Neurospora crassa OR74A: one gene and its partners. Each later gene encodes a partner of the first gene's protein in a complex. Links are inferred from orthologs where the notes say so. Each region holds a gene or a part of one and is shown on either strand. Other genes may lie near its edges.

Region 1 (4,253 bases):
GTAGGCTGTTTGTGTGCTTTCTGGGCGACACTTGGGAGTATCGGCATGAGTGAGTGGGTATAGTGATGGTGTAGTGTACTGTATTTCAATTTCTGAACGTGGAAGACTGCACTTTACGGAGACATCAACTCGGGAGGAACGACTACGAGGAGTTTCCCCACATCATAACAGTCTCTACCTATGCTCAATCGACGATGGCCATGATGTGCATCTGACGGGTTCCCATCGATTGTTCCCGTCCTGGCATGTCATGCTCGGATCATGGCATGACATGGTAGCGCCGGCTACTGCCTTGGTTATTGGTTGATGTCTTGGCCAATATGCATGCCGATGTTGCCGGGGGCAGCGGGGGTTCAAGACGACCGGGGGTCCGGGCACGCGGCTGGCACTCTTGATACCTCCAGTCTCACAACGATACATATCACGCAAAGCCTCAAGGCGTCCGCTAAAGTATTGGGCGGTTCATCACTGTCCACTGGTGAAGCTGGAGAGATGAAGCCCTTTCGTATTATCACTATTTATGCGGGCTTGATTTTCGAACAACCTGCAACAACCTACGGCATCACTTGCGTACAGGCAACTGGAGCCTTCCGTATGCTGGACATCTCGTTTTCTACCTGGCAGTAAACTGCGCTCCCTTCAACCGGGATATAAGTCATAAATAATTACGTCCCTTGTGCTCCATAGTAGTCATGTCTATTCATACAAAGCTGCTAGTTCTTGCTGTAATGCATCCAGCCTTGCTTTGGCCCACGAAGTCTCTGCCGGGAAGATGGCGACTAGGGAGTAATTTGACTCGACGGCTTCTCGCCTCGCCCTATGGCCGCGATGGTTACCGTCTGTTTCTGACCACAACTGGGGTCAGTGCAGTAAGGAAGCTTGAGCTTCTCTAGCGCGCCGCCGCTTTCTCCTTACTGCTCTTCTTTGACGACTTTGCTCCGGGTTGGATTCTTGCCATCATTTCCTCCTTGGTAATCAGATGGTCAATTCTTTCCAGGTGGCCTAGCAAGCTCTTCATGTTGAAGCTCCACTCGTTGAGGATATCGTCCGCATCCCGCGGCTTAGCAAAGCTCACGATGCGCGCCGGGCGGTCGATCTTGGCATAGACCGTTTTGGACGTCACGAGCTCGCTGATATACTTCTCCGTCTCGTCCTCGGTCAAATCCAACAGCTGGGTAAGGCGATCCACACGAATGCGCGTGTAATACTTGGCCACCACACGCACATTATGCTCGATGACGCGCTTGCGCAGGTCTTGCCAGCGCTGGAAAGCCTTGTCGTCGGCTGACTGGTTGGGCTCCGAGTCGAAGATCTCGGTGCTGCAGAGGTGTGGGCCAAAGATTTTGGAAACCTCGGGCCAGCGCATGAGCTCGTGGACGGTAAACAGCTTCAACAACTCGGCATCCTGAGGGACCTGTGCGATTCGTGGGTCCTTGTGGATTCTGTGAAGGAGATCGTGTTGCTCGTTGTCGTGAGGGGCAAGGATGATGAAGTAGATGATTCTTTGCAGGACCTGTCAACCCATGTTAGTCTAAGAAGATCGCCATGTGGTGTGTCTGAGAAGCTTACGGCCTGCAACTTGGCGGGGTCCTCCTCTACTGCCTCGGTATCCAGCACTTGACGGTAGTACTTGCAGACGTCGAGGTATCTTGAGTCGTGCTTGGCCAAAATGATCTGTTGTTCGTAGTATCGCAACTTGAGGTCGGTGACATCATCTTCCTTCTCCTCGGAAACCTCCTCACCCCTGGCCTTCTTGGCCTCCCTGTCCTTCTGTTCCTTGTCGAGCTGCTCTTGCGTTTTCTTGGGCCTGCGCGCAAGGTACTTGGTGCTAATCTTTCTGCTGAGAATGCCCGCCTGTGTCCAGTCCTTGCTCTCTATGCAAAGCGCCACCTGAGCCAGAATGAATTCCGTCTTTTCCCTCCTGTCCATGGAGCCAAATGTCTCAACCTGAAGCTCGCACAGGATATCGGTCGCAGCCTTGAGATCGCCCTGCTCTTTCTTGATGTCGGAGAGAATCTTGGTGACGCGTGCGCGCTCAACCTCGAGAAAGATCTTGCCCTCGGTAACGGTGCGCAACGTCTCGATGACGGAGAGCTTGGTCTCCAGGTTCGGGGTTTCTGGGAGGAAGTCGATGACGGTCTGTACCATCTTGGTGATGGCTTGTTTGAGCTGGCCATGTTTCTTGGAGAGAACAAGGGTCTGGTCGTTGAGCAAGCTCCAGTCGCCTGCATTCTTGCAGATGGTAACGATAGCGACCAGGATGCGGGATGTCGATGCGAGGTCGGAAGCCTGTCGTCGGCGAGTGGTCAGCGTGAAGGAGCGGGGGACAAGGTAGGTGGTCCAGCGTGCTTACCTGGCGCGTCTGCTTTTCGAGGACAGAAAGCTTCTCGATAGCCGCTTGAATGTCTGTCTACAAGGGTGTTTCATTATTAGTATACGGTCTGCAGACGGTGGCAACCATGGGAGTTTTGCGATTACCTTGGCCAACTGCTCGGCCTCGGGCAGCAGCTTGTCGACTTCCTTGGAGAAGTCCTTCTCCGGCTTGAACGCAGGCTCCGCCATGATGTGCAGTATTGAGGATGTGTGGATAGGCGCTGTCAGACTATTTCAGGTATCGTGGGCTGGGCGGCGACTACACTGCGTTCGCGATGGGTTCGTGTTGTTGATGTTGTGATGATTGAGGGGCAGTTCGTTTGTTAGGTTGTAGGTTGTTTGGAGACTGAGGTGCTCTTGGAGGTACCTTGAGTGTCGTCAGTCCAGCGATTGGCGTAGTGAGGTGCTGTGGTTAGGTCGTCACGGTAGCTGCCCTGCTGCTGGAGTGGGACCTGTCACTGCTAGCAACCCAAGCACACTCACTGCAGCGGTACGTACTTGGGGGTTGGAGGGCGGCCTGGTGTGGGTCCTTTTCTCCCCCCCTCTTCATTAAAGAGGGGGTAAAGTAATTGTGGGACAGCGTTTTATTATGGGACAAGGCCGATGGGTACCATATAGATTTGCTTATTAACGCCCTGTAAAATCGCTTATTTGCATCGTAAAATCGGTAATAGCGTTGCAACAAAACCGTACCCTAATTCGTACAATTTTATTGCGTAAATCTATGAAAAATAAGCAGTCTATATATATCTATAGATTAATAGTAAAATTGTTAATTTACCGTATAATACCCGTAAATTTCGATTAGTACTTTAAGGAGTTGGACGAAGCGTCCGCTAGCTACTGTGGCGCCCGTATATATCTTAAAGCTTATTGGCGCTTTAAAACCCTTAGAAATAGGGTAACGAAGCTATTAATTGTTAAGGATATTACTGCTATTACTAGTAAATCCCGTATATTGATCTTTTATTATATTAAATCGCTACGCGAATTCCAAAAGCCTGCCGTCTCGTCGCACCCAATAGGAAAACCCTATATACTAATAAAAGCTGAGGAAAGTACTATTATATTGTACGTAATATTCTACTTTCAAGGACGGTTCCTAGCGTTATACTAAATAGTTATTATAGCGGCAAATCGATTACGCTTATTATAGGGTACACCGGAGACCTACAATACAATATAATTAGCTAGCTTCCTCAAAGACTATCTAGAGTTCAAAACTACTATTTACTGTATAGTTAATATTAAAAGAAGGTTTTAGGAATTAAATAAGGAGTCTATTAACGAGTAGTTTAACGAGTACGAGGTTATTATTAAGAAGTACGAAGTTGAAAGAGGCGATATTTAGAACTATAATGAGATAGGGGTAAAATTCGGTTGCGTAGCGGGTGGGCGAGTAAGGGTAATTGTATTAAAGGAGCTAGTAAAGTAAAAGCTAGAGATTAACGATATTATTAATTGCGAATCTACTACGCTTATAGTAGGAGTAAGTGTAATGGGGTACGTAGTATTAACGTACTTAATATTTAAGACCGACCTAATAGAAGATTTCCTTATTAATAATTTAAATAAGGGGGTTAGATTTATTAAATTGCCGATTAGCTTCTCAAATGTAAAATTTACCTTCGATTAATTAAAGTACTTTAACTATTATTCTTTTTACTTATTATTGACTTTTATATAGTTAAAGGAGGAGGACGGTTATAAATTGGGAGAAGAAGGGTTCTCTTTTACTAAGTAGTTTAAGTGTAATTAATATAGTTATAACGCTTTTAGTTAGAAAATCCTAAATTTAGTATATAGAGTAGGGTTAAGGAAATTATATAAGCTAATCTACTGTATCCTAATTATTAATAGGTTTAGTAGTTACTATAATA
Region 2 (7,781 bases), on another chromosome or scaffold:
AGGTACCTCGCTGCACGCTCTGTATGAGTGCTACGGGCCAATCAGACACAACGAAGAGTTACATACCTAGGTACTTATATGCGTTGAAAAGGTTCCACCCTTTGGTTCTGTCCCCTTTCTCGTTATCGATAAGCCTTGCGTAGGTAGCGTTCGATAAGCCGTTCATGTCGCTGCCGTCCATGCAAGTGCAGTTGGCGTCCATTGATTGATTGCCCATGTTGACGCCGCGGAAATCGGATGGAGATTCCAACCCCGAACAACTTCAAACCCATCTTGCTTCGGGAGAACCAACACAACCAGAGAAGATCCCTGTTGCTACTTTACCGGCTTTGTACACGTTGCTTTGATAGACGGTAAGACGGAAATCACCAGCAAATGTTGCCAATAGAAAAAGCGCGACCGTTAATTGACGTGCATCGCTGCTAACAAGTCCTCTTATTCCAGGTACTTGGACCGAACCGCCGGGAACTGTGCTCTTTCCCGAGCGGAACGCGATTTGCCGGCCTCGCCACGACCCTTACAAGCCATCTCAACTGGTGAAAAGCCAGGCTCAATAAAGCCAATTCTGCAGCTAGATTCACCCATTGTTTCGATTCTTACGAGCCGAAAGTCCAGGAACATCATCCCCAGCGTCTGAAGCAACACTCGTCCTCGTTGCTAACCCGGTCACGGACCGCTCCAACCACTGCGGATTCGAACACAGCTCCTCCCCTTCAGAACTACTAGCACACACGGGCTTCACATTTGGGGCTTTCGACGAGCGAACAATCACATCACCATGTCGGCCAACGCTGCGTCCTCCAAGGACCACAAGGTCAAGGAGCCCCAGCCCGGCCAGCCAATGTATGGATGTGGTAAGATGGCCCATTCTTGTCCCTGCTACACGGCCTTATTTTCTAACCTCTTCTAGAGCATGTCGGCCGTCTCTTTAACCAAGATCAAGCGACGATCAACATGTCCATACAACATTACAAGACCATTCTGCGAGCCATCTTCGACATCAACCCTATCCTGTCACACACGGCCAAGGGCGTAGATGGCCAGGTTGTAACATCCATTACCCCAACCTACCTCTGTCTGCAATGCCCCTCGACTCTCACCGACGATGACCTTACAAAACACGGCAACAAAAAATCACATCGCTTCTGTACGTTCGCTGCCTCTGCCAGAAGGAGCCAAATCATGGGGCAAGGAAACTGACAGTTGTAATCAGATGTTGAGTCGAGGAGCGGAGCGGTGTATTGCCAAATGTGTGATGATATTGTGTGGGACCCTACCTTTGAGGATTTGAGGTTAAAGAAGCTCGGCACAGGGTCGTTTTTCGGTAGTATGTTTTTCTGTCCTTTTCTCCGTCTTACCCATGGGGGCTTATGCCCGGTACCTTCTCCTATGTCGATGAGCCTTGGCTGTTACTAATCTGTATTTCTATCACAGGCCGAAAGCGTAAACATGAGGAACTCTTCGCCCCTGATCCCGTAAAAGACGCTCCCCAGTATATATCGACCAACACCACCCTCGCCACCTGCAAGGCTAACGGTCTCCGTGGTATCTATAATGCCGGAGCAACTTGCTATCAAAACGTTGTCCTCCAATCATTCCTCCACAATCCCATACTACGCAACTTCTACCTGAGTGATGGGCATCAGTCAGGCAGTTGCGACACACCCCATTGCCTCAGTTGTGCCATGGACGATATGTTCCAGGAATTTTATGCCAGCGAAACGACGAACGGTTATACCGCCGCAAATATCTTGTCCGGATTCTGGATCAGCGAGAACAAGGCGTTTGAGAACTTGGTAGCCAACAAGGAGCAAGATGCTCATGAGTTTTTCCAGTTCATGGCTGAGGAATTACACGAGAGAAATGGCGACGGCAAGAGACCGGAAATTGGCAGTGAGCATACCTGCAACTGCATCATCCACCAAACATACTACGGAAAGTTACAGACGTCCACAACGTGCCAAAACTGTGGGGGCGTCACCAATCAAGCCCAGAGCTTTTTGGATCTCAGTGTTCCCTTGGAAAATTTGACGCAAAAAAGGGGCAAGAAGAACTTGACGAATGGCGACGGGGTCGCATCGACAAGAACGCAAAACAGCGTGACTCTCCAGGAATGCTTGGACGAAGAATACATCAAATCCGATAAGTGCGAGTATCGGTGTCAGAACTGCAATTCAGTACAGCAAGCAAGAAGACAGACCAGTATCAAGAAATTACCCAACGTTCTTTCTATCCAGCTCAAGGTCAGATTACCGGAATCCTTCCTCATGCACATTCCTTACTGGCCGTTACCGCTGGCTTCGCTTGGAGACAACAGAAGCTGACAGTTGCCAACAGAGGTTCGAGTTCAAACAAGGGCGTAATGATCGTGCCCAGAAGATCGAGACACCTGTCCAGTTTCCTTTACAACTCAACATGCTGCCTTATACGACACGCGCACGAACACAGGATCTCAAAGATAACTACGAGCTACAGCGGTCCTGCACTTACGATCTTCTATGCGTTGTTGTGCACGTTGGCGACATGGATACCGGACACTACATTTCTTATTGCCGGGTTGGCGACCAGGTGAGTCTGACTAGTGAACCATGACACACATCTAGTTCCTGAAGGGTTAGACTTGCTGACCCGCTGCCTTTGGCACATTTATTTAAGTGGTTCGCATTTAACGATCACAAAGTTGAACTGGCCCAGAAGTCTGATGTGCTAAACGCAAAGGCCTATCTTCTCTTTTACATTGTTCGGTCCCTGTCTTGAGCTCGGATAAACGGTGTACGAGTAGGGGCAAGTAAGCAGCAAATATTTTTTTCCTGTGTATGATGTTGTTTCCAGTAAACACGTGCCAGATGGCTCATTTACGTTTTGTACACTACTTGATCTTTTTGCGGCGTTCAAGGAAGCATATTTTGCCGGCGTATTTTGGATTTGCCTTTGTTCATGGAGCGTACATGGAGAGGATTCACATAGACATAACTCAGGCCAAAGCATGGGCCTGGATTTTTAGAGAATGGAGGACGTACGCCGTGGGCGTTGTCATGCGTTATGGGTATTCATATGTATCATGCAAAGTCGGTCTGCCTCATGCAGCGGAATAACATCATGCCTTTAGCTGGCCTTGTTCCCTGATCTAAGCATTAGGTTTACTCCTGTATCTCCAGGTTTGATGCCATCCGTTTGAACGCCCGAATTGTTCCCATCTCCTCACACCGTCCGTAGATTCGTCCACCCTTTAAGCCCAAACATCCTGGCCCACACCCTCGATCCAGTTACCCAGCTTGTCAACACTGGAATCCCACTCTTGCAGCCGTTGCCTCATGTTCTTGATCTGCTGCATGTCCAACACCTTGGGCTGCACCCAGTTGATGTGGGCCACCTCGTCAACCTGGTCGATCGTGCCCCGCAGTAGATCCAAGCTCAGCGCCTTCATGATCAGGTGCTCGATCTCGTCGGGGTGTACCTTGGTCTCGTTCGCAATGGTGGAGAAAGACATGGCGCGGTCATGGGGCGGGCGGCGAAACACGGCCTCGGTCAGCGCCGCCAGATAGATCTTCTCGCGCAGCTGGCGCGTGTGCTGCGCCAGCAGCGGGTCCGAGCTGATGTGGCTGGCCAGTAGGTCGTATGCGGCAAGGTCGCCGCGGTTGAAGGCAAAGAGGAGCTGGTGCAGCCACTTGTGCCGGTCGTCGATGGTGAGGGCGTCGAGGATGGGGTGCAGCAGAAGCTCGCCAAAGTTGTAGATGCTCGAGCTGACGAGGGCCGCGATGGCCAGGTTGTAGGCGCGCTGGCGCTGCTCCTCGAGTGAAAGTGACTTGACGTCGATGCAGGCGAGGTACAGCAGCGCGTTCTTGTAGTAGGAGCCCCAGTCGGACTTGGCTTGGAAGTATTTGGCGTTGGTGTCGTAGAAGGCGGCGTGCACGACCGACTCCACCGAGTCGAAGTTGTCGAGGATTCGCTCGGCCGTGTCCAGGTCCTTGCGCGCGCCGTCAAGGTCGGAGAGGTCGAGCTTCACGCGGGCAACGGCGATCGTGGCGAATACATAGGCGTCTTGAGAGTCTTCGTGGTCGACCTTCTTGACGACGGCTTCCAAAAAGGAGAGGCGCTCTTGGTTGTCTACGGTTTGCGCACCCAGGCGTGGTTAGTGCTAGCTGCCAGATGCATGTTTGGAAGCAGAGGAAATGAAGACCGTCTGCGCACCTCTACATTGTGTGGCGGCCTTGAGAGCAAGATCAACGAGCTTGAGCTGGTTGATCTTGTCGGCGAACTTGAGAATGAAGACCTTGTAGAACTGTAGCCTCTGCGGGGCACTGCCGGGGTGGTTGAAGAACTCAAGCAGCAGGTTGGTGAGCTGATGCCACAGCTTGCGCTCCCATAGTGTCTCGAACTCAAGGACGAGGGGTTGGAGTTCTTCGGGCGCCTGGTCGCGCTGCTCGGCGAGGAAGTCGGAGATGGTGTCGACGTTCATGGCTGTGGTGTTGTGTCTAGGTGTGGGTGTGGGTGTGGGTGTGGGTGTGGGTGTGGGTGTGTGTGTCTGAGTCTTCTATCGATCCTTGCTGTCCAGTCCTTGGGGAGGTAGGCAGATTCTCGAGGATCCGGTCTCTTTGGTGGAAACGTCGGTGAGTCTGCTGCGGATGGAAACCAGCGTACTTATCGTGGGATGTTGCTCGTTGTAGAAAATCCCGGCGGAACAATGCAGTGGTACGTCTACAATGGAGGACGGGATGAAAGTGGAAGTGTTGTTTTGAGGTTGTCTTGGTTGACGTCTTGCAGTGAAGCCTTGACGCGGCATTAGGCGTGCAGCCAGCTACGGTCGGTCATTGTGGATGCTCTCCCAGCACTGTGGAGGCCCCCACAGTCACTGCCAAGTGGAAGCTGGGTGAAGCTAAGGTACGTACTGGAGGCGGGAGCCCAAAAGGTACATGTCTATCTGGCAGAGGTACGTACTGCCGTTGAGTGTAAGTGAGGAAGCTTGGCACACGTGATTCCCGTCAGCAGTTTGGTCGCTGGGTACATTGAAGGGGGGGGGGGGGTGCTGACGGCAGGCGGGCAGCAGGCGGGCAGCGAGAGCCGGCTTCGACGTCCCGGATTCGATATTGAAGACGGCAGCTTGAAGCTCCGGATAGCCTCTGATTCCATCACCAATTGAACGGGATCCGGCCAGCCCTGCCACCCCCCAACTCACAAGATGGCTCCCTTGACGGCCGCGATGCGGTCGACTCCCAGAATTATCGTTTCCAATGCCTTTGGCTTTCAGCGACGAGCTATCTCCGACGTGACCATCACCCGCACCGGCAAGCCCATCATCCGTAACCAGGGTGGCCGGTAATTGTTGCTATATCTCTGCTTGGGTAGAATGGGCGATTGCTAACACGTCGTCTACCTCCACAGCTCCTCCCTCGGTGGACATACGGCGACAGTCTTCGGTGCGACCGGCCAACTCGGCCGCTACATCGTCAACAGACTAGGTACGATCTGGCGACTTTGTGGCGTAGGCCTCTATAGAGATCACCATGGCTTATATCAAGAACATTTGCAGCGAGACAAGGATGCACTGTCGTCATTCCCTTCCGCGACGAGTACAACAAGCGCCATCTGAAAGTTACGGGTGATTTGGGCAAGGTGGTCATGATTGTGAGCTTTTCCCCACAACAAGAGTCATGTCCACACAGTCGAGGCCCACGTACGCGCAAGGATCCAGCTACTAAGCATAACCACCACTCCAGGAGTTCGACTTGCGCAACACCCAATCCATCGAGGAGAGCGTCCGACACTCCGATGTCGTCTACAACCTGATCGGTCGCGACTACCCGACCAAGTGAGTCTGGATTTACTGGGAAAGGTTGTGGTGGAGATGCACGAGTATTGACCTGGGTCCCAGGAACTTCTCGTTCGAGGACGTCCATATCGAGGGTGCTGAGCGCATCGCCGAAGCTGTCGCCAAATACGATGTCGACCGCTTCATCCACGTCTCGTCTTACAATGCAGACCCCAACTCGGAGTGCGAGTTCTTCGCCACCAAGGTACGATTACAAGACAGCCTCTTCCAGCGAGTCGCATCGTTATGGGTTTCTGATTGGATCTGTAGGCGCGCGGTGAGCAAGTAGTCAGGAGCATTTTCCCCGAAACCACCATTGTCCGGCCAGCTCCCATGTTTGGCTTCGAGGACAGGTTGCTTCACAAGCTTGCCAGCGTCAAGAATATCCTGACATCCAATGGGATGCAAGAGAAGTACAACCCTGTCCACGTACGTCTTCCCCCACGATATAACCCTTTGCGCGCGGACGGTAGCATCTGACAGCCGTTTTAGGTGATTGATGTTGGCCAGGCTCTTGAACAGATGCTCTGGGACGACAACACTGCTTCGGAGACTTTTGAGCTCTACGGTCCCAAGACCTACACTACCGCTGAGATCTCCGAGATGGTTGACCGCGAAATCTACAAGAGGCGGCGCCACGTGAATGTGCCCAAGAAGATCCTCAAGCCGATCGCCGGTGTGCTGAACAAGGCCCTCTGGTGGCCCATCATGTCTGCCGATGAGATTGAGCGTGAGTTCCACGACCAGGTCATCGATCCGGAGGCCAAGACCTTCAAGGACCTCGGCATCGAGCCTGCAGATATCGCCAACTTCACCTACCATTACTTGGTAAGTTGCCCACATCACATTCGAGTGCAAAAGTATGATGACTGATTCCCATGCAGCAAAGTTATCGCAGCAATGCCTACTACGACCTTCCGCCAGCGACCGAAAAGGAGAGGAGGGAGGACAGGGAGTACATTCACATGCTGTGAGTATCTTTGGGGTTGCACAGGGATGCATGTAGATTGTAGAAATCCACCGTAGAGCATTTGGTGAGTCGACGGAACACAGAACGTCCAGACTGGATGCTGTGGTGAGAATTAGAGCAATCAAGAGATTTGCGCAAGCGTTTGAACGATCTGGGGTGAAATTGAAGCCTTCAACTCGACGGGGTTGTGTTTACTGGTATGATGCGACCAAAAAGGGGAACGGATAAGGGAAATGGCATCAATGCATCCACAAATTTTTTCCGAACGATGCTGCACACTCCCGTTAAACTTTGACTGTTAGTGCCAAGAGCACACCATTCCCCAACACTCACAACCTTACAGTCACTCGCTGCCCACTTAGACAACCGATTATAATCGATTCGCTCCTACTTGTACCCGAACCATATCGAATCGAGCCATACTGTGATTAGACTTGGGGTCCAAAATGGCGTGCATCATCGACAAATTCTCTGATGATGAGAGTGACCTGTGAGTAATGCCTCACTACCAGAAACTTATTTTAATAATCGTAATCCACAGTATACTGACTATCTGAAGCGAACTCTCTACCTCAACCCTCGATGCCCTCAAATCTTTCTACGCCGAGCGCGATGCCCGTGCTGAGCAGTTTGCTAAGCTCCAGGCCGAGGCTGAGGAGAGGCATGCTTTGAACGTCAAGCTGTCTATGGATGCTTTCACCGAGGATTGGAATGAAAGCCAGTTCTGGGTGAGTGATACCATTTTCATTTAATTTTTTTTCACACATGGCTTATAAAGAGACGTTCAACCGACGAAGACGAACCAACTGACATGAGAATCACTCAACAGTACTCCGATGAAACAGCTACCTTTCTCGCCAAACAACTCCTCGCCGGCGCCACTCCAACCACCTCCATCGCCGTCGTCTCCGCCCCCTCCGTCTTCGTTCAGCTCAAGAACCTTTTGAACAGCGACGCCTACAAAGACAAGCCCAAGCCCAAACTCACCTTACTCGAGCACGA
Region 3 (8,023 bases), on another chromosome or scaffold:
TCTCAAGCTTCTTCTCGTCGCCTGCACCTATTCCGGAAATCAGTTTACAGGGTCCAGAGGGTAATGCTTCTCTTCGGCCTGGGCCCGAAGTGCTCGATAGGCAAAGTCAAGCCAACGGCAAGGTGTCATCTGGTTCGGGAGCCCTTTCGGAGCGGTCACAGCATCTTCCTACAGGTCAGGAAGCTGAGAGGAAGCTAGGAACGACTCCCATAGGCCGCGTTCCATCATCTCAGCGCCTTTCTGTGCCAGTTTCCCAAAAGCCGTTTCAGCCTTCACCTCTGGGTACAGCGCCCGTGTTATCAGGGCAATCCTCCCGACCCCTGCAACCGGCACAACGTGTACTTCGACACTCTTCCTCCATCATCGGTTCCTCCTCACCACCACAGTCTGGAAGCATCTACACCCCGGTCCCGCAGAAACAGAACTTCACTCCAGTGCGACGCGAACCAGGCGCTAAGCTCCCCTTGTTCGAACGGGACGGCGGAACAAAGACCGGCACTGTCACGGCTCTACCACTCAAAGACAACCACAGCTCAGGCCCAGGCACCACTCCGAATTCGATAACTGACAAACCTAAGCAGTTGCTGTTTGGTCTTAAGGAGTCCATTTCCAAGCTGTTCTCGGACCCGCCCGCTAAGAGCGTTGAGTATGGACCGGAGAACGAGAATGAAGAAGAGCAAGGGCCTGAAGAAGACATGGACGACTACGACGAGATAGTGGAACTCGAGGAAGAACAATCATCTGCCGAGGAAAGCTTCGAGCCACCTCCACTTCGGTCTCTCCCCGACAAGAACTCTTCCCCTATCAAGTCTGCCTTGCGACCGCCAACTAAGGGCCATACACCCGGCCGTGCGGTGCAGTTTGCCAACAGTGTCCGACAGTCGCCTACTCCTCGGCGTAACGCAGACGTTGAACAGAGGCGTCCTGTATTCGGTGGCCGTTCCACCCCTGTGATTATCACCAGCTCGCCCAGTACCCACACGGAGAGCAGTCCTGTTCATAGTCCTGCAGGCTCGGAGAGGATTGAGGAGAATGCGACTGGGATGTATGAGGAGGATTATCAGGACGAGGAACAGCACGAACTTGATGACACCGTGGATATGGATATGGATGTGGATATGGATGATGATATCGAATGGTACGAGCACAGCCCCGCGCCAGCACCAGCGGTCCAAGCACCGAGACCGGCGCCGCCGTTTCCTCGTCCACTGAGCCCTGGACGTGGACGGCAACGGCAGCAGCAACAGCAACAGGAACTACAACAACAAGTTGCTGCTGCACCACGTCAACCACCAGCAGCACAGCCGCCGCTCATCAAACCCACATCCACCCTCGAAAACTCCCCCGTCATCCGCTCTGGCGTCTCTCTGTTTGGCTACGGTCGCCGCAAATCACTACCGCCTCCTATTCCGCCTTCCAACCGTAACATCGTCACGCCTCTGCAGCCGCTTTATCCATCTCTCCCACCAGTATCCTCTTTCGGCCAACAACAACAACAACAGCAGCAACAATCCTCTCAGCCGTCGACATCAACCTCTCAACACCATAACGGCCAAGCTTCCACCGGTGCTTCCATCGGCGCCTCCTCATCCACTTCCGCCTCCGCCGCTGCCACCACCACCACATCCCACTCCCATGACCACCACCAACAACAACAACACCAACTCCCCCCACCAACCCACCTCTGGAGCACCTCCCACTGGGACATCCTCTCCTCCATAATCCACGCCCACCGCGCCCTCCACCACTCCCAATCCCAATCCCAATCCAAAGGCAAAGGCAAACAACGGGCCGCCGCCCCCACTCATCATCTCTACTACCCCCACTCCCCCACCCTCTCTTCTTTCCTGCACCAAACGTACCGCCCCTCCCCTCAACAAACCACCTACGACCCCGTCACGCGTCTTCCCATTGACGAGTCGGTGGTGATTGAGCAATGGCATTTGGACGTCGTCTACAAGTTTCGGGAGATGTTTAGACGGGCGTGGGGAACAGATGAACTTTACGGTGGTGTGTTTGCGATGGATGAACAGGAAAAAGGGGGGTGGAGTGAGGGGGAGTTGGTCAGACGGGTGTATGCGTTTTTGGTGGGCGAGAGGAGGAGGAGGGAGGGACGGGTTGATAGGGGGAGGAGAAGGGGGAGGGGGGTTGTTTGTTAGTTTATGCGTCGTGATGTGTATTGAGCATGGGAAAGGACATGAAAGAATGGGCATAGATGGATGGTTGGATGGTTGGGAAGGGGAGAAGGGAAGAACAGTGAAAGAAGGAACTGGATACCCAAAGTATAACTGGATGGACGGATGCATGAGTAGGAGATACCATGTTGTTAAATGGTTCTTTGTACAAACATTGGTTGTTTCTAGTTTCTGAAATTTGGACATACGATATCACATATCTGCAACAGTTTGAAAGACCAGACCACCGTCATTGCTCAAAACTTAGACTTATGATCATGCGGTTTATCGTGTTTGTTTCAGTACGCCCGACTAATACCATATCTAAGCGTAATGTTACAGACGAACCCCATGTTGTAAACCCCTAAACCATCCATCCATCCATCCATTTAAACCCTGCTTCTGCCTTGAACCTCGCTTTTTTTTTACTCAAGCTGCGAGGCCTGGTTGGTATAAAGCACATCAACCACATTGCTAAGCTTCTCAATGGTCTTCAGCGCCGCATCGTACGCCTCATCCCGGTGCGTCTCATCGTAAATAATGAGGCAGCCGGCGCCCTGGTCCAGCACTCCAATGATCACCTTATCCAGGATCATCTGCGACAGCTTTCTTTCCACCTGCTGGGTGTCCAAGCCGACCATCTTGGCGATATGGTCAATCTCCACGCGGCTGAAGGGCTCAATGACCTTGATCAGGTTTTGCTCCAGCATGGCATCGTACAAGCGTCGCAGGTGGTTGCGGATGAAGGTGTCACTACCCAGCTCATAGCGGTAAGCCGCCAGGGCGCGCTCGTACTCCTCGAGAGATCGGTTGCTGTGGGCGCGGGCAATGGCCTTCATGGCCTCGAGCGACTTGCCGGCGTACTTGACGGCCTGCTTGGAGGTCATGAGCTGGTTGACGTCATCGGCGAGGTTGAGCATGATCTTGCAGAGCAGCATGTACTGCAGCGCGGCCTGGGCTCGCTGCGGCTCCTCCTGCGTGTGGTAGCCGTCCAGCGCCTCGATAAAGTAGCTGAAGGCCGTGTTGAAGTCCTTGTCCTCGGCGTGCAGCATGCCCGACTGCATGTCCAGGTTGGCCTGGAGCAGAGGAGGGGTGTAAACGGAGGCGGCGCTCGTGCGCGCGCTGGTGAGGGCGGCGCGGGCCTTGGCAATGTTGCCGAGGGCGTGGTATACCCGCGACTCGAGCAGCTGGACTTCGACGAGGACGAGCTTGTCGTCCATGCGCTTCAGCTCACGGAGGAGACCGTTGATGAGCGTCAGGGCATCGTAGTAGGACTGCTTGGCCATGTACAAGGCGACAAGACGGGTTTCGAGGTTCTGGCGGAGGAAAGAGCGGCGCTCTGATGTGGCCCATTCTATACACGACTTGGTGACGGAAATCTGGATGTCGAGAGAGTCGGGGATGGCTTCGAAGAGGTCGAGGAGCTGGCGGACTGCATGTATCAACCAGTGTTAGTATCCTCATGAGCTTGTATAGCGCGTCAACAAAGCTGATGGCGGGGTCGTACCAAGCTTTGCCGTCTTTGCCTTTGCGAACGAGGAGAGAACTGTGCGGCTCTGGGTTACGAGGTCTACAAGGCCTTGTGAGTTCCTGTACACGGTGATGGGAGGTTAGTGACCGTACCCCTCCTCGATGACCACGACATACACCAGCCACTCTTACTTCTCGTCGCGATAGAGCTCTCCCAAGTGAATCAAAGCCGTCTCGTATTCCCGGATGGCCGCGTCAGAGGTGACTGATGGCGGCTTGGAGATGATATCCTTGTAAATCTGCTCGGCCTGGCGGGGGTCGGTCGAGACCACCTTCTGCGCCTCGCGCACTCTCTCTGATGCTTCGCCCTGGGCCATGGTGTCGTGTGCTGGTTGTCCCGGTCGCCAAGTGGTAAGCGGTAGTAGTATAAATCGAGAGTTTGGCTATCGGATTGGATGTGATGGTGATTACTCGAGGTCGCGGGGGGATATGCGGCGTGTCGGTGGTCGCAGAGTGTCGGCTTGGAAGTTGTGGTTGTTGTGGTGTTGAAGTTGGAGCTCAGGTTGTTCTGTCGTGACGAACCTCACCACCCGTCCTCTGCTGGAGCACAGCTGTTACCCAAGTCAAGTGCAGGCGGCATGTCCACTAACGAGACCTCTGTACACTACGTACCACCGCTAGGTAGCCAGGCGCGACGTAATTAGCTGGAGACATCCACCTACAGATCCCTGTCAATTCACGGCAGGCAAGCCCAGCTCTCGGTAGCTCAGGCCCTGTCCATCCTTTTGGCAGCGAAGCTCTAACATTCCAAGCCTAAGCGTTTAGCAAACTGCCAAGAAGGCGGTCAAGATTCTTGCCGCCAGACCCCGCCAAAATTTCTCCAGAGGAAGGGGAACGGGAGCTGTCAAACTGCCCGTGTCCGACTGTGCTCCCCAATTGGCGACAGACGCTCCCGGCATCCATCCATCCATCCATTCATTAATTCCAACGTCGATAACTGTATCACAGCACCTGTGCTTTGCGACAAGGTGTACCGACAGACTTCAGCCATACCCGGCCTCATCATATACAATTATTCACACTCGATATCCGTCGGCCTTGGTAGCCTTCTCATCCACGACCCCTTCAACATCATCAACAGAGAAACACCGTCACCATGAAGGTACTTGGGCCTACCACACGCGACGCCCATCAAGATTCGCAAACCCACTTCTAGGCTCACCACTGACACTTCTACAACAGATCAAAGCCCTCAGCCGAAACATCTCGGCCCAGCAGGCCCCCGGTAACGACGTCACCCGCGCACCCCGTAACCTTGCGCCCGAACTCCATCCCTTCGAGCGCGCTCGCGAGTACAAGAGAGCCCTCAATGCCGTCAAGTTGGAGAGAGTCTTCGCCAAGCCCTTCCTCGGCCAGCTAGGAAATGGCCACGTTCAGGGTGTCTACAGCATGGCCAAGGACAAGAACTCGCTACACACAATCGCTTCCGGTTCGGGTGACGGTATCGTCAAGGTCTGGGATCTCACAACACGGGATGAAGCATGGAAGGCTGCCGCCCACAACAATATCGTCAAGGGAATGACCTTCACCAACGACAAGAAGCTTCTCACATGTGCCACCGACGGCATCAAGCTTTGGGACCCTTACACCAAGACCGACTCCCCAACGCCACTCGCGACATGGCAGGAAGGTGGTCCATACACGGCTCTCTCGTTCCACCGCAACACCAACTCCTTCGTTGCCTCTTCGGGCGCCGGCTGCATTCGTATTTGGGATCTCGAGCACAGCACGGCTCCTCAGACGATACAGTGGCCGAACCACAGCGACACCATCACCGATGTTTGCTTCAACCAGGTTGAGACCTCGATCGTGGGTTCCGTCGGCACAGATCGCTCCGTTATTCTGTTCGATTTGCGCACCAACATGCCCGTCATCAAGACTGTTCTCAAGTTCGCCGCCAACCGCATTGTCTTCAACCCCATGGAGGCGATGAACATGGCTGTTGCCTCAGAAGATCACAACGTCTACCTCTTCGACGCCAGGAACTTCACCAAGGCGCAGAATATCCAAAAGGGCCACGTTGCGGCGGTTATGGACGTCGAGTTCTCTCCTACCGGCGAGGAGCTCGTGACTGGTTCCTATGACCGCACAATCAGGGTGTGGCGCCGTGACCAGGGCATGTCTCGCGATGTGTACCACACCAAGCGTATGCAGAGGGTGTTCCGGACTACCTGGACTATGGATTCCAAGTACCTTCTCAGCGGTAGTGACGATGTACGTTGTCTCCTTTCTTTTCTCCAACTGTTCGATCAGCACAGCTAACGTGATATACAGGGTAACGTCCGTTTGTGGCGTGCCAATGCCTCGGAACGCAGCGGCGTCAAGGCGACCAAGCAGAGACAGGCGCTCGAGTACAACAAGACCTTGGTCGAGAGGTATTCTCACATGCCCGAGATCAAGCGCATCTCCCGTCACAGGCACCTGCCTAAGGTGGTCAAGAAGGCGGCCGAGATCAAGCGCGAGGAGCTTGCGGCCATCAAGAGAAGGGAGGAGAACGAGAGGAAACACTCCGTCAAGCAGTTCGAGAAGCGCAAGGCAGAGAGAGAGAAGGCTATCCTGGCCAAGCTGGAGTAATTGCGGTGTTCTTGGCTTTTGTGTGCCATGGTTTGTGCGGTCTCTCGCGCTTCACGCTATGCGTTTACTATTTTCTTTTGCATTGGGCGGCGTTTCTTAGTGGGAAAATTGTCAGGCTATTTGTTGATGAGACTTTCAGGCAGCGGAGTCTCGCTCGGTCTATACGGAGTTCGATACCACATATTCGATAGTATTTTGTTTCTGTGTTCGTCTCTATGTGCAAAGCAAAGCGACCATGTCTTCCCATCTCTTCCAAAACACCTACACCACTCCTTCAGGCGCCCTGTGGACTCCGGCCTCGCTGCTTGACTCTCTTTGCATGGTCACTTTTTTTTCCTCGATTCCTCCTTTCCGGTTGATCAAGGTTCACCTGATTTCCCACAAGTCAGACGGTCGATTTCGTGGACCTGACCAGTACCCAGAAACTGGCGTCAACATCGTGCAGCATTGGCATGAACCTCATGGCCTGGATAAGAAGAACGAACGACATGGAATCGGACGGTCACGGCGTGGGTTGGGATAGTTGGAGGGAAGGATACGGGTCGTTTGTGGCTCATCCGTGGCCATTGATGTGGGCTACCCTAGATCTAGCGCGGCCTGCGTTATTGGATCAAGTAGATGGCTCTCCTGTCTCGATCTGGCTCGAAGACCGGTTGGCAAACAGCAGTCGGAGTGTGGCTCAGCCATCAACACAACCAAACTAGTTGTAGTTGTGCCCTTAGAAAATGGGAGCCCACCTCCGGGCTTTGGGTATAAAGACATTTCTCGAAGAGACATTTCTCGACGTCGAGTGAGAAGCCATAACCGGAGCCTCAAACGCTTTGAGATTGCATCGACTTTATTCCAGAGAGTTATAGGATTTGATGGCAGTCTACCACCCAAGGCGTGTAGAGAAGCTGCCATAATAGATCTAACTTAACCGTCTACTTTTTTCTCGGCTTTGCTCCCGAAAACTTCTTCCCACACTGCGCGACCGACGTCCCAGTGCAACCCCATCAACTTTGCAAAGCTTCCACATTAAATCTCATTATACCCGTGAGCTACTCAAGGAGCCAAGTATGTATATGTGTGCTGGGTTTTACCATGTTGGCTGAGGCTCGGCGTAGCGAAAATAGGTACATAAACGCACAACTTGATTTTCCCCGCAAAGAAGGCTAAAAGTTACCTATGTCACTCCGCAATTCGACCGCCTTACCGTATCCTAAACCGAATATACTTTCTCGGAATTAGAGTTCGTAGTACTAATCTTTCATCGATAACAAGAGTCGTGAGTGGTTTTGGTATCTAAGGGTGGTGGAAGAGCGGTTTTCATGGAAGGGTAAGGTTAGAAAATTGGTTATAGCGGACCTGAAAGGGATTATAGTACGTGTGAGAAACAAAGAAAAATACATGTAATTCCTTCAAAACCTTCGATATGGTACTCTAGCTTGAGGTCATTGTCTCAAGGAATCATTCCATCGAAAGCCTACCTGTACATTCTCCACAGTCCTGCCAAATTCGAAGCCTTAACCGAAACCACCATCACACATTACTACCAGTGCCCTCTCCAAGCTGTTATCCGTTGCCAGCTGTTTCTTCTGGTTTCTTGAGTTCATTTGTTTGTTCACTGCTGGTCTTTAGGTGCCTCCTTCATTATCCTCCCGTGATCCAACGTCCGTTTTCTTCAACGCTGCTGCCAATTACCATCCAGTGGGTTATGATCAAGGGTGACCAGCTTGGTCCAGTATTTGGAAAGCGTCACCCAA
Region 4 (8,021 bases), about 4.0 Mb from region 1:
GCTCCTTGTGTCCTGCCCATCGTAAACTTGCTCACCATGGGCGCCTCTGGAGGATTCCTGCTGGTTTAGACACTGACAAGTCCATCAGGGTTGAGAAGAAGACGAACAGGAAGAATTTAACGAGGGCGCTATCACTTGTATCTAAAGTAGTAATGTGGATATGCTAAACACCAGCTGAACTCTTTGCTGTACGACTCGAGGATTTGCCATAATTGGACCCGTCGGGGTTGTTGATCATTTCTCAGAAGTCTTTGGCGCCATTGAAAGTTGCTTTTCAGCTGACGGCTAGATCAAGCAATCCAGATTGGCTGGCACCAGAATCTGGCAATCCCACTCAAGGTATGCGTTGGTACCAAACATACTGTAGATAACTCCTGCATACCCCTACGTACGTGTGAAGTAATGGAGGTTGTGTATGTACACTATTCTAGAGTCCAAGGGTCCAGTCCCTCGTTCTCCGGATAACGAAGGTTGAGGAAACGCCCCAATAAAGAAGCCGCTAATAGGAACTGGCGGGGATAAACTGCACGCCCGATTGGACTTTGTCCTGATCCGCAGGGCAACCCCGCATGATACAACGCGATGTCTGAAGTGGAGGCCGGGGCATCTTTGGCGATCCAGGATCAATCAAGCTCTTCAGGAGACGAGGGTGAGGGAAGTGGCACAAGTTTAATCAAGCGTTCACCACTTAGTGAACATCCCTGGCTTCCAAACCACAATCACATATCAGCAAGCCATGTTTAGCTAAAGTCACCTTTATTAGACGCTTAACTTGTAGAAACTTTTCCGAAACATGGAAAAAGAAAAGAAAAGGAAAAAAAAAAAAAGAAAAAAAAAGAAAGAAAAAACACAAACAACAAAGAGCCTGGATGTAATGTGGGGGAATCATTGAAAACAACATTTTCCTCGTCACAACACCCCTAAATCCCCAAACGCCAATGCCAATCATGCTCATGGGATAACACAACTGAAATTTGCCGACGTACTCAGGGCCCGATTAGTCCGAGCTATCAGACGTACTGAGTGTTTGTTCGGGGGGTTGCGTCCTATTCTTGAGGCTTATCGGCCTCCTTTTCCTTGTCATCTGTTGTTGCTGCCGGTGCCTTGTCGGATGCCTCCTCGGCAACCTTGCTTGGCTCTTCTGCCACTGGCTTCTCAGTGTTGGCGTCTGGTACCGGCGAGGCGGCCTTGGGAGAGGCTGCTGCTGCTGCTGCTGCCTCGGTAGCAGGCTCCGCAGTGGCGGCGGCGGGACTTGGCCTGCGCTCTGCCTCCGGCTCCGGAGCAGGGGCAGTCTCGATTTCCTCGGTCTTGATCTCCGCCTCAGGTTCTGCAGGCTTCTCATCGGCCTCGCCCATATCCACATCGCCATCTTCGTCAACTTTGGCCGCAGAGCTTACTGCAGGCTGCGCGGCTGTCGTTGCGGGGGCTTCGGCTTCAGGTTCAGCGGCGGCCGGTTGGGCTTCGTCGTTATCGATCATGGTCTCATCGTTGTCGACAGCAGTAGGCTCCGCTGGCTTAGCGGCGGCCGCGGCGGCGGTGGCGGCAATCGAGGGCGGAGCTGGTTCTCCAATATCAAGATCCATGTCCTCCACGGCCTTGGGGTTCTTGAAGTCGAGAATGGACCGGCGCTGCGGTCCGTTCGGCTTGAACACACCATTGGCTTGAGCCATGTCCTCGTCATCACTTTCTTCAAACTCGTCTTGCCTAGCTCTCTCCTTCTCCCATTGACGCTGTGTCCGCCGGACATCCTTGTTCTCGTCCTCATCCATGTCGTCAAGCTCGTCTTCCTGATCGTCTGACATACCGAAGCCCTGACGCGGAACGTCCTGCATCTGGACAGAGGGAACTGGGGCGGTCTTCTTCAGGTTTTCTATCACTGATATCTTGATCTTCTCCAGGTACTCTGGGCTGTTGGCGTTCTCCATATTGGAAGAACGCACATCAAGCTCGTAGTCGGGACCGTAATACTAAGAGTTTGTTAGCAAGGCGGCAAGCCATAATGGAACTAATCCACTTACGTCGTAGTACTCGTTGTAAGGAAGGACTGGGTTCATCTCAACACCAACCAAACGGCCGGTTTCGTAGGCCCAAGTCCTTGCGACGTTGCGCATGGTGTAGCCACCTCCGCCGAGAACCAGAGTGGGTAGTCCAAAGCTCCGCACGTAATTAACGCAGTTGGCATGGCCACGCATGCTCAAGTTAAAGCAGCCAAGACGATCACCGGACAAACTGTCACCACCGCATTGGAGGACAACAGCCTCAGGTTGGAAGTATTGCATGACAGCGCTAATGACGGGCTGGAAGATGGAGCTGTAGGTGGTGTCGTCAATCCCATCGCGGAGGGGGAAGTTGACGGCATAGTTCTTGCCGGAACCGATACCAATGTCGCGCAACTCGCCGGTACCGGGGAAGTACTCGCCGTACTTGTGGAAGGATACGGTCATGACGCGATCCGTCGTGTAAAAGGCTTCTTCGACACCATCGCCGTGGTGCACATCGATGTCAATGTAAAGAACGCGCTTCTTGAAACGCAGGAGCTCTAGGATAGCCAGGACGATATCTGTTCGGTGTAGTAGGTAAGCATGGGTGGCGTCGTACGGGTTCCAGGAAATTGTGAAGGCCACATACCATTGACATAGCAGAAACCGCTAGCCTCGCTCTTCTTGGCGTGATGCAAACCACCGGCCCAGTTGATGGCGATGTCGCACTTGTCCCTATTCAAGCGAGCGGCACCCTCCATACTTCCGCCGGCACTGATGCCGCAGAACTCAAACAGGCCGTCGAAAACGGGACAGTCATCGCCAACATTGTACTTGCCCTGCTCGCGCATGAAGCCGTCCATGTTGTCGGGGGTAACCTTTTGTAAAAACTCAATGTACTCGTCGGTGTGAAACTGTGTCATTTCGGCAGTAACGGCTGGTTTTGCACGCTAACACAGAGAGGGTCAGTTTGTCGTTGACCAAGGCCAGTACCCCCAACACAGCAAACTTACGTAGACCTCGAGAAACTTGTACACGTTGTAGTTCATGACCAGACTGTGGGCAAGACGGATACGATGGGGCTTCATAGGATGGCCGGTCACGTAGGCATAGTTGCCAATGTCGGAGTCGTAGAAGTAGGCGACCCGCTTCTTGTCATTGTGGACGACGGTATACAACGGCTCGTCACGCGCGACTCCGGCGGGATCGGTGAATGTGGAAGGCATGGTGGGCAGATGTTGCCGGGTTGCCCGTTGTGTTGTGTTGCGTTGCGTTGGCGGATACGGAGGACTATTGCGGTACAATCCGGATTGTGGGTTGGATGGTGTGTGTGTGTGTGTTGTGGTGGTGGATATCACGTCCAAGTATGTAGAAGTTATCGCTGACCGGGAGACGCTGGGATGGGAAGGACCCCGTCGTGAAAGGAAATGTTCAGGGTCGCCGGGCTGAATGGGGGAAACACGTGTTGAGGTTTCGTGGTATTGATAGAATGACAAAGTATGATATAGAAATATCCCCGTGATGTGGCAAATCACCTGGGCGGTATCGTCATGGCTTGCCAGCAACGAAAAGAAAGATGGTGTTTAGTTCGAGCTCGGTTCCTGACGCCGGGGTGTCTGTCACTGAGTGGCAGAATTGCTTGTACGAGCCACGGCACAACGCTGAGGTCGGTGCGTGAAGCCGTGGGCGGACAGGCGGGGGAGAAAGCGCAAGCACCAGCAACCCCAACGGGCGAGTGGGGTATAATTGAGCTGTTCTCCATTCTCCAATAACTTTAGTAACCAATCAGAAAACGGATTGTGCACCTGACGTCCTGTCGGCAGGCAACGTCGAACCTTCCAAAAAAGCGCCAATACTTATGAAGTCAACCGCTTTGCCTGCCGATTTGCAAACCAGATAAGATTATGTAATCCACAGCTTCCAGCTCAAGGGAACCTTCCGTCACCGGGCTGGCCTGCAGTGGACTTTGTGGCAGTTGGCGTTGCAGGCTGCCACAGCTTGTCGTCAACGCCGCCGCCAGCCAGCTGCGGCAAGCTCCCCATAGGTGCTGCATGCTCCATGCTCCAACCTGACGCGGTAGGTAGGTAGAGAGGTACTCAACCCACCAACCTAAACAACAAACCGCCCCGTCTCCCGTCTTGTCATCGACGACATCCCACTTCGACTTTACAACGAAACCGCCACCGTTTGCATCGCAACCCTCCATATACTTCTGCGCGACGTCATTACACCCGAGGAACGACGCCGATATTAATTTCCAACACCCCCGTCACACAGCTACGTCAACATAATACACTACTCTCCAACCAACAAACACATTCAAGATGGATCGCATGCGCAGCTTGTTGGGCGGCGGCCTGGGAATGGGCGGTGCCACTGCGCCAGGAGCCGTATGTTTGTTCCCATTCGCAAATTGAACAACAGAACCGCAGGCTTGCTTGGTCTGGCGTGAAGGTGACAAGGGCATGATGCTAATGTGCTGGGTTCTGGTCAGGACAACACCAACCTCATCGACAACTCGGAAACCGTCTACATTTCCTCCCTAGCCCTCCTCAAGATGTTGCGCCACGGTCGCGCTGGTGTGCCCATGGAAGTCATGGGCCTGATGCTGGGCGAGTTTGTCGATGACTTTACCGTTCGCGTCGTCGATGTGTTTGCCATGCCCCAAAGCGGTACTGGTGTCAGTGTAGAGGCTGTCGACCCCGTCTTCCAGATGAACATGATGGACATGCTCAGGCAAACGGGAAGGTGAGAGGATACTCAGCTCAACTTGACCTTTCACCACCCACTAATGTATTTCCCTTCGCAGGCCCGAGGCCGTCGTTGGCTGGTACCACTCGCATCCCGGTTTTGGCTGCTGGCTTTCGTCGGTTGATATCAACACCCAACAAAGTTTCGAACAACTCAACTCCCGTGCGGTCGCCGTGGTTATTGACCCCATTCAGTCCGTCAAGGGCAAGGTTGTGATTGATGCTTTCCGTCTCATCAACCCCCAGTCGCTCATGCTGGGTCAGGAGCCCCGCCAGACGACATCCAACTTGGGACATCTCAACAAGCCTTCCATCCAGGCCCTCATCCACGGCCTGAACAGGCACTACTACTCGATCGGCATCAACTACCGCAAGACCGCCTTGGAGGAGAACATGTTGATGAATCTGCACAAGCACGTTTGGACCGAGGCCCTCGAAATGGAGGACTTCCGCTGCGAGGGATCGAGGACGAAGGAGAGACTCGACCGCCTGGTTAGCCTTGCTGACGGCTACGAGAAGAGAGTCAAGGAGGAGACAGAGTTGACCAAGGACCAACTCAAGACACGCTATGTTGGCAAGGTGGATCCCAAGAAGCACTTGGAGGATGTCGGACAGCAACTGATCGAAGACAACATTGTTGCCGTTACAAGGCAGATGATCGACAAGGAGGCGACCATTGCGAAGAAGGATACCCCCGCTGGGGCCAATGGCACCACACATGGCGACCAGATGGAGGTCGAGGAGGAGCAGCTATAGGTACCTACCTAACCAAAAGGACAAGCATGCATGACGTTTTTTCTTTGCAGGCGCATACCTCCGACTTGTGATTTTGTATGACTAGGCGTTAGGTATAAGGATGGGCAGCTAGACCGGTAGCCATGTTCAAGATTCGGTTTTCCTTTTCAGTGAATGGGGTTGTCTGTTCAGGTACAGACCTGCAGTGACTGGTTTACGGGTTCGTGGCTAGTGGTGTAAGTGACATCAATTTCTCTTTGTTTCCGATTCTGTACCTGAGTTGATGCCACAGGAATGAGTGCACCACGTCTTTGTGCGCGGAAAGGTGTTCTTGGTTACACACCATTGTCCTTTGACAGATGCTCTGCACAGCGTTGCCATGCCCATAATTGCATTGTTTACTTGTGGTGTTCGTGACACAGGCTCGTCTCTTGGAGGCTTCTCATCCGAATATAAATGTCGAAGAACCTCTCACACTTCCAAATGCGTTCTGTTTGTCATCCACAAAACACCTACAGTCATACAACAACATTGGACCACTGCCAACGACAAGTCAAGATGGGTTTTACAGCTTACCTGAAGACGATCCTCAGCGATTTGTTGCGCGGTCCGCAACCCAACAAGAACCAACATGCTCAAAGACACGGTAACAAAGCCAGCGGCCGCAATGGCAGCCGGAAAGGAAGCCATCAACATAAAACGATGCTAACTCGAAAAGGCCAGCACCAGGGGACCACCACCCCCAGAACTACACAGGAAAAGAGGAACCATCGGTACCTACCTCCCAATCCTCCCAATCCTCCTCCTAATTCCCCACGTCCCCGTCCAATTCGTCTTCCTCAAAACCCCCCTCCTGCCCCTCCTCCCTCCCCTCGCCCAAGACCCATTCGCCTTGGTGTCGAACCAGGAGAACCCCAAGCTAACAATACAGCGCAAGTTGAAGTCAACCAAAAGAGTATCCCTATTTGGCCCGCCTCAGCACCGGCTGCCTCGTTGCCTCCTCCGGTCGCACTGTCATCGATTTTTGAAGCTTTCGATCGAGATGGAGCTAGAGATAATTACCTTCACCAGAGGCCAGGCCTGCCACTAGACACCGTCACTCTAGCTGCTTGGGAAGAAGGTCTTCAAGCCCCGGTGCCGCCGGCCCTGTTACCGGTAAGAATGGCAAGTCCCGCTTTTTCGTGTGCATCAGCCAGTTCGGAGGATACCATTGCGCTGATTGACTATGAAATTGAGAGTTGGCAGTGGTTATCTTTGGAGCAACAATCCGTCGAGACAGGTTCTTATCTGGGTTCTGGGGTTGATATCGATAGTGCGGCTGAGTCAAGTGGGATATGGACCCCAGCTGGTTTTTCTTGTTCGACTGTGGCTTCTTCGATTGCTTCTATTCCTGCTCTTTCTTTTTCTGCTTATTCCGCTTGTTCGTCAAACAAGAGCGGGACTCGGTCTTCGAGGAGACGGAGTATCAAGCGTGTATGTGTTCCGCCCCCTTGGAAGAGTGGTTGGAATGAAAGCTTTGTGAGGCAGAGGGAGTATCCTGACTGGATCTAGATGATAGGTAGGTAACGGTAGAATGTTCGGTCTTGGGTTCGGTTTGTCGGGTTACTCAATTTCTTAGGTTCAGGGCGGCTTTTTCTTTTTTCTTTGCATTTTCGACATATTTGAGGATATACCATACATCCAAGTGACTAGTAAAAATAGATTGTTGAATGAAATTCAAGATACCTGCTATCAGAACCCGTTTTTGCCGTCCGTCATGCTTAAAAACGTACGTACCAAAGAAAACTTTGGATTTACCAGTGAGATCGCTCGTTGCACTTCGCTCCATTATCCACACATATCAAGTAAAGACCCTTAAATGCTAATAAAATTTCCAACATTGAGCAATGCAGGACCTCTACCTACGCGAAGAAGAACTAAGAAGAAACAAAATAACGCAGTACAAAAAGCAAGACTGACCCGACATGCCTCGAGATATCCATCCATTCCTTCATAGTAACATGGCCAACACATCCCGATCCCCTTTTCCTTCGTGCCCTGTCTTCCCTTCAGGAAACACTCAAAGCGGCCTCCCGCTCCTCCTCTTCAAATGCCTCCTAGCATGCCCCTCGCCCGCCGCATAACTCTCTGCCCTCTGCCCACCCTCTCTCCGCACCGCCGAGTACACCAACGAACCGTTCTCGCATCTCGTCCCCTGAGACACCTTTTGAGAAACGGCCCACCCGTTATCGCACACGCCAAAGAAGTCATCACCGAAGCAGACGGCTACTTGACCCTTCTCGCACTGCTTCTTCTTTTCTCCCGAGCCACCTTCATCTCCACCAGAACCAGAGCCAGCAGAAGCTGAAGCTGAAGCACCTGATGAAACATTGGCAGTTACCGTTACCTTGACCGTCATGGTTTTTGTTACCTCTATTGTGGTCTTTTCTCCAGCCCCGGCTCCAGTTTCGGTAGCATTAGCATCATCATCACATTTCCCTCCTCCGGGGCCGGACTCGACACCACCGGTAGCGCTAGCCGTAGCAGTTGATGCTAGCCCATCGCTAGGGGCAGTGAT

Evidence for each region.
Region 2: the proteins of rpn-5 (region 1) and rpn-9 are in contact, whole or in part, in a cryo-EM structure (PDB 5MPE), measured with the Saccharomyces cerevisiae proteins. The link is inferred for Neurospora crassa OR74A from reciprocal best matches to the Saccharomyces cerevisiae genes RPN5 and RPN9. Residues at the interface, in NP_010134.1 of Saccharomyces cerevisiae: Asn306, Glu307, Leu308, Arg310, Ile353, Tyr356, Tyr357, Ser358, Arg359, Ile360, Thr361, Arg364, Ile399; in NP_010715.3 of Saccharomyces cerevisiae: Asp322, Glu325, His326, Met329, Arg330, Ile332, Ser333, Gly339, Ser340, Ile341, Asp342, Gln343, Val344.
Region 3: the proteins of rpn-5 (region 1) and rpn-6 are in contact, whole or in part, in a cryo-EM structure (PDB 3JCK), measured with the Saccharomyces cerevisiae proteins. The link is inferred for Neurospora crassa OR74A from reciprocal best matches to the Saccharomyces cerevisiae genes RPN5 and RPN6. Residues at the interface, in NP_010134.1 of Saccharomyces cerevisiae: Glu377, Ser381, Val384, Asn385, Tyr390, Ala391, Lys392, Val393, Asn394, Arg395, Pro396, Pro405; in NP_010186.1 of Saccharomyces cerevisiae: Lys349, Glu352, Pro353, Phe354, Glu355, Cys356, Val357, Glu358, His361, Trp396, Glu401.
Region 4: the proteins of rpn-5 (region 1) and rpn-11 are in contact, whole or in part, in a cryo-EM structure (PDB 3JCK), measured with the Saccharomyces cerevisiae proteins. The link is inferred for Neurospora crassa OR74A from reciprocal best matches to the Saccharomyces cerevisiae genes RPN5 and RPN11. Residues at the interface, in NP_010134.1 of Saccharomyces cerevisiae: Gln242, Tyr273, Gly274, Asn275, Leu276, Asn278, Asp279, Leu280, His282, Lys283, Asn385, Gly387, Ser409, Leu412, Asn413, Trp415, Ser416, His417, Asp420, Glu421, Leu422, Leu423, Glu424, Glu427; in NP_116659.1 of Saccharomyces cerevisiae: Pro46, Met47, Glu48, Gln73, Ser74, Gly75, Thr76, Gly77, His111, Phe114, Trp117, Ser119, Asp122, Lys148, Gly149, Gln186, Ile189, Trp221, Gln222, Leu225, Lys226, Met227, Asp229, Tyr230, Glu231, Ala298, Asn301, Ser302, Ile305.

The regions. Positions count from the first base shown.
Region 1 is NC_026501.1:3,064,067-3,068,319, reverse strand, and holds rpn-5 (26S proteasome non-ATPase regulatory subunit 12), read right to left. Parts: upstream 2,801-4,253; 5' UTR 2,563-2,800; coding exon 2,479-2,562; intron 2,411-2,478; coding exon 2,354-2,410; intron 2,290-2,353; coding exon 1,570-2,289; intron 1,514-1,569; coding exon 890-1,513; 3' UTR 444-889; downstream 1-443. UniProt on the Saccharomyces cerevisiae protein: Acts as a regulatory subunit of the 26S proteasome which is involved in the ATP-dependent degradation of ubiquitinated proteins.
Region 2 is NC_026507.1:2,713,484-2,721,264, forward strand, and holds rpn-9 (proteasome regulatory particle subunit), read right to left. Parts: upstream 4,835-7,781; 5' UTR 4,460-4,834; coding exon 4,192-4,459; intron 4,108-4,191; coding exon 3,230-4,107; 3' UTR 2,981-3,229; downstream 1-2,980. Other genes in the region: NCU02375 (ubiquitin carboxyl-terminal hydrolase 2), read left to right, coding at 779-854, 911-1,147, 1,214-1,327, 1,435-2,243, 2,338-2,568, 2,656-2,757; nuo40 (NADH-ubiquinone oxidoreductase 40 kDa subunit), read left to right, coding at 5,180-5,316, 5,383-5,459, 5,531-5,625, 5,718-5,809, 5,873-6,014, 6,080-6,238, 6,302-6,637, 6,694-6,783; NCU02372 (N(6)-adenine-specific DNA methyltransferase 2), read left to right, coding at 7,226-7,269, 7,339-7,507, 7,609-7,781. UniProt on the Saccharomyces cerevisiae protein: Acts as a regulatory subunit of the 26S proteasome which is involved in the ATP-dependent degradation of ubiquitinated proteins.
Region 3 is NC_026502.1:2,994,724-3,002,746, forward strand, and holds rpn-6 (26S proteasome non-ATPase regulatory subunit 11), read right to left. Parts: upstream 4,283-8,023; 5' UTR 4,022-4,282; coding exon 3,837-4,021; intron 3,765-3,836; coding exon 3,682-3,764; intron 3,607-3,681; coding exon 2,600-3,606; 3' UTR 2,312-2,599; downstream 1-2,311. Other genes in the region: NCU01597 (hypothetical protein), read left to right, coding at 1-2,159; NCU01595 (SOF1), read left to right, coding at 4,801-4,806, 4,887-5,918, 5,979-6,278. UniProt on the Saccharomyces cerevisiae protein: Component of the lid subcomplex of the 26S proteasome, a multiprotein complex involved in the ATP-dependent degradation of ubiquitinated proteins. In the complex, RPN6 is required for proteasome assembly.
Region 4 is NC_026501.1:7,045,668-7,053,688, forward strand, and holds rpn-11 (26S proteasome regulatory subunit RPN11), read left to right. Parts: upstream 1-3,972; 5' UTR 3,973-4,303; coding exon 4,304-4,369; intron 4,370-4,473; coding exon 4,474-4,727; intron 4,728-4,788; coding exon 4,789-5,485; 3' UTR 5,486-5,872; downstream 5,873-8,021. Other genes in the region: NCU00825 (hypothetical protein), read right to left, coding at 1-38; hda-3 (histone deacetylase RPD3), read right to left, coding at 1,047-1,967, 2,019-2,560, 2,629-2,929, 2,993-3,205; NCU00822 (hypothetical protein), read right to left, coding at 7,524-8,021. UniProt on the Saccharomyces cerevisiae protein: Component of the lid subcomplex of the 26S proteasome, a multiprotein complex involved in the ATP-dependent degradation of ubiquitinated proteins.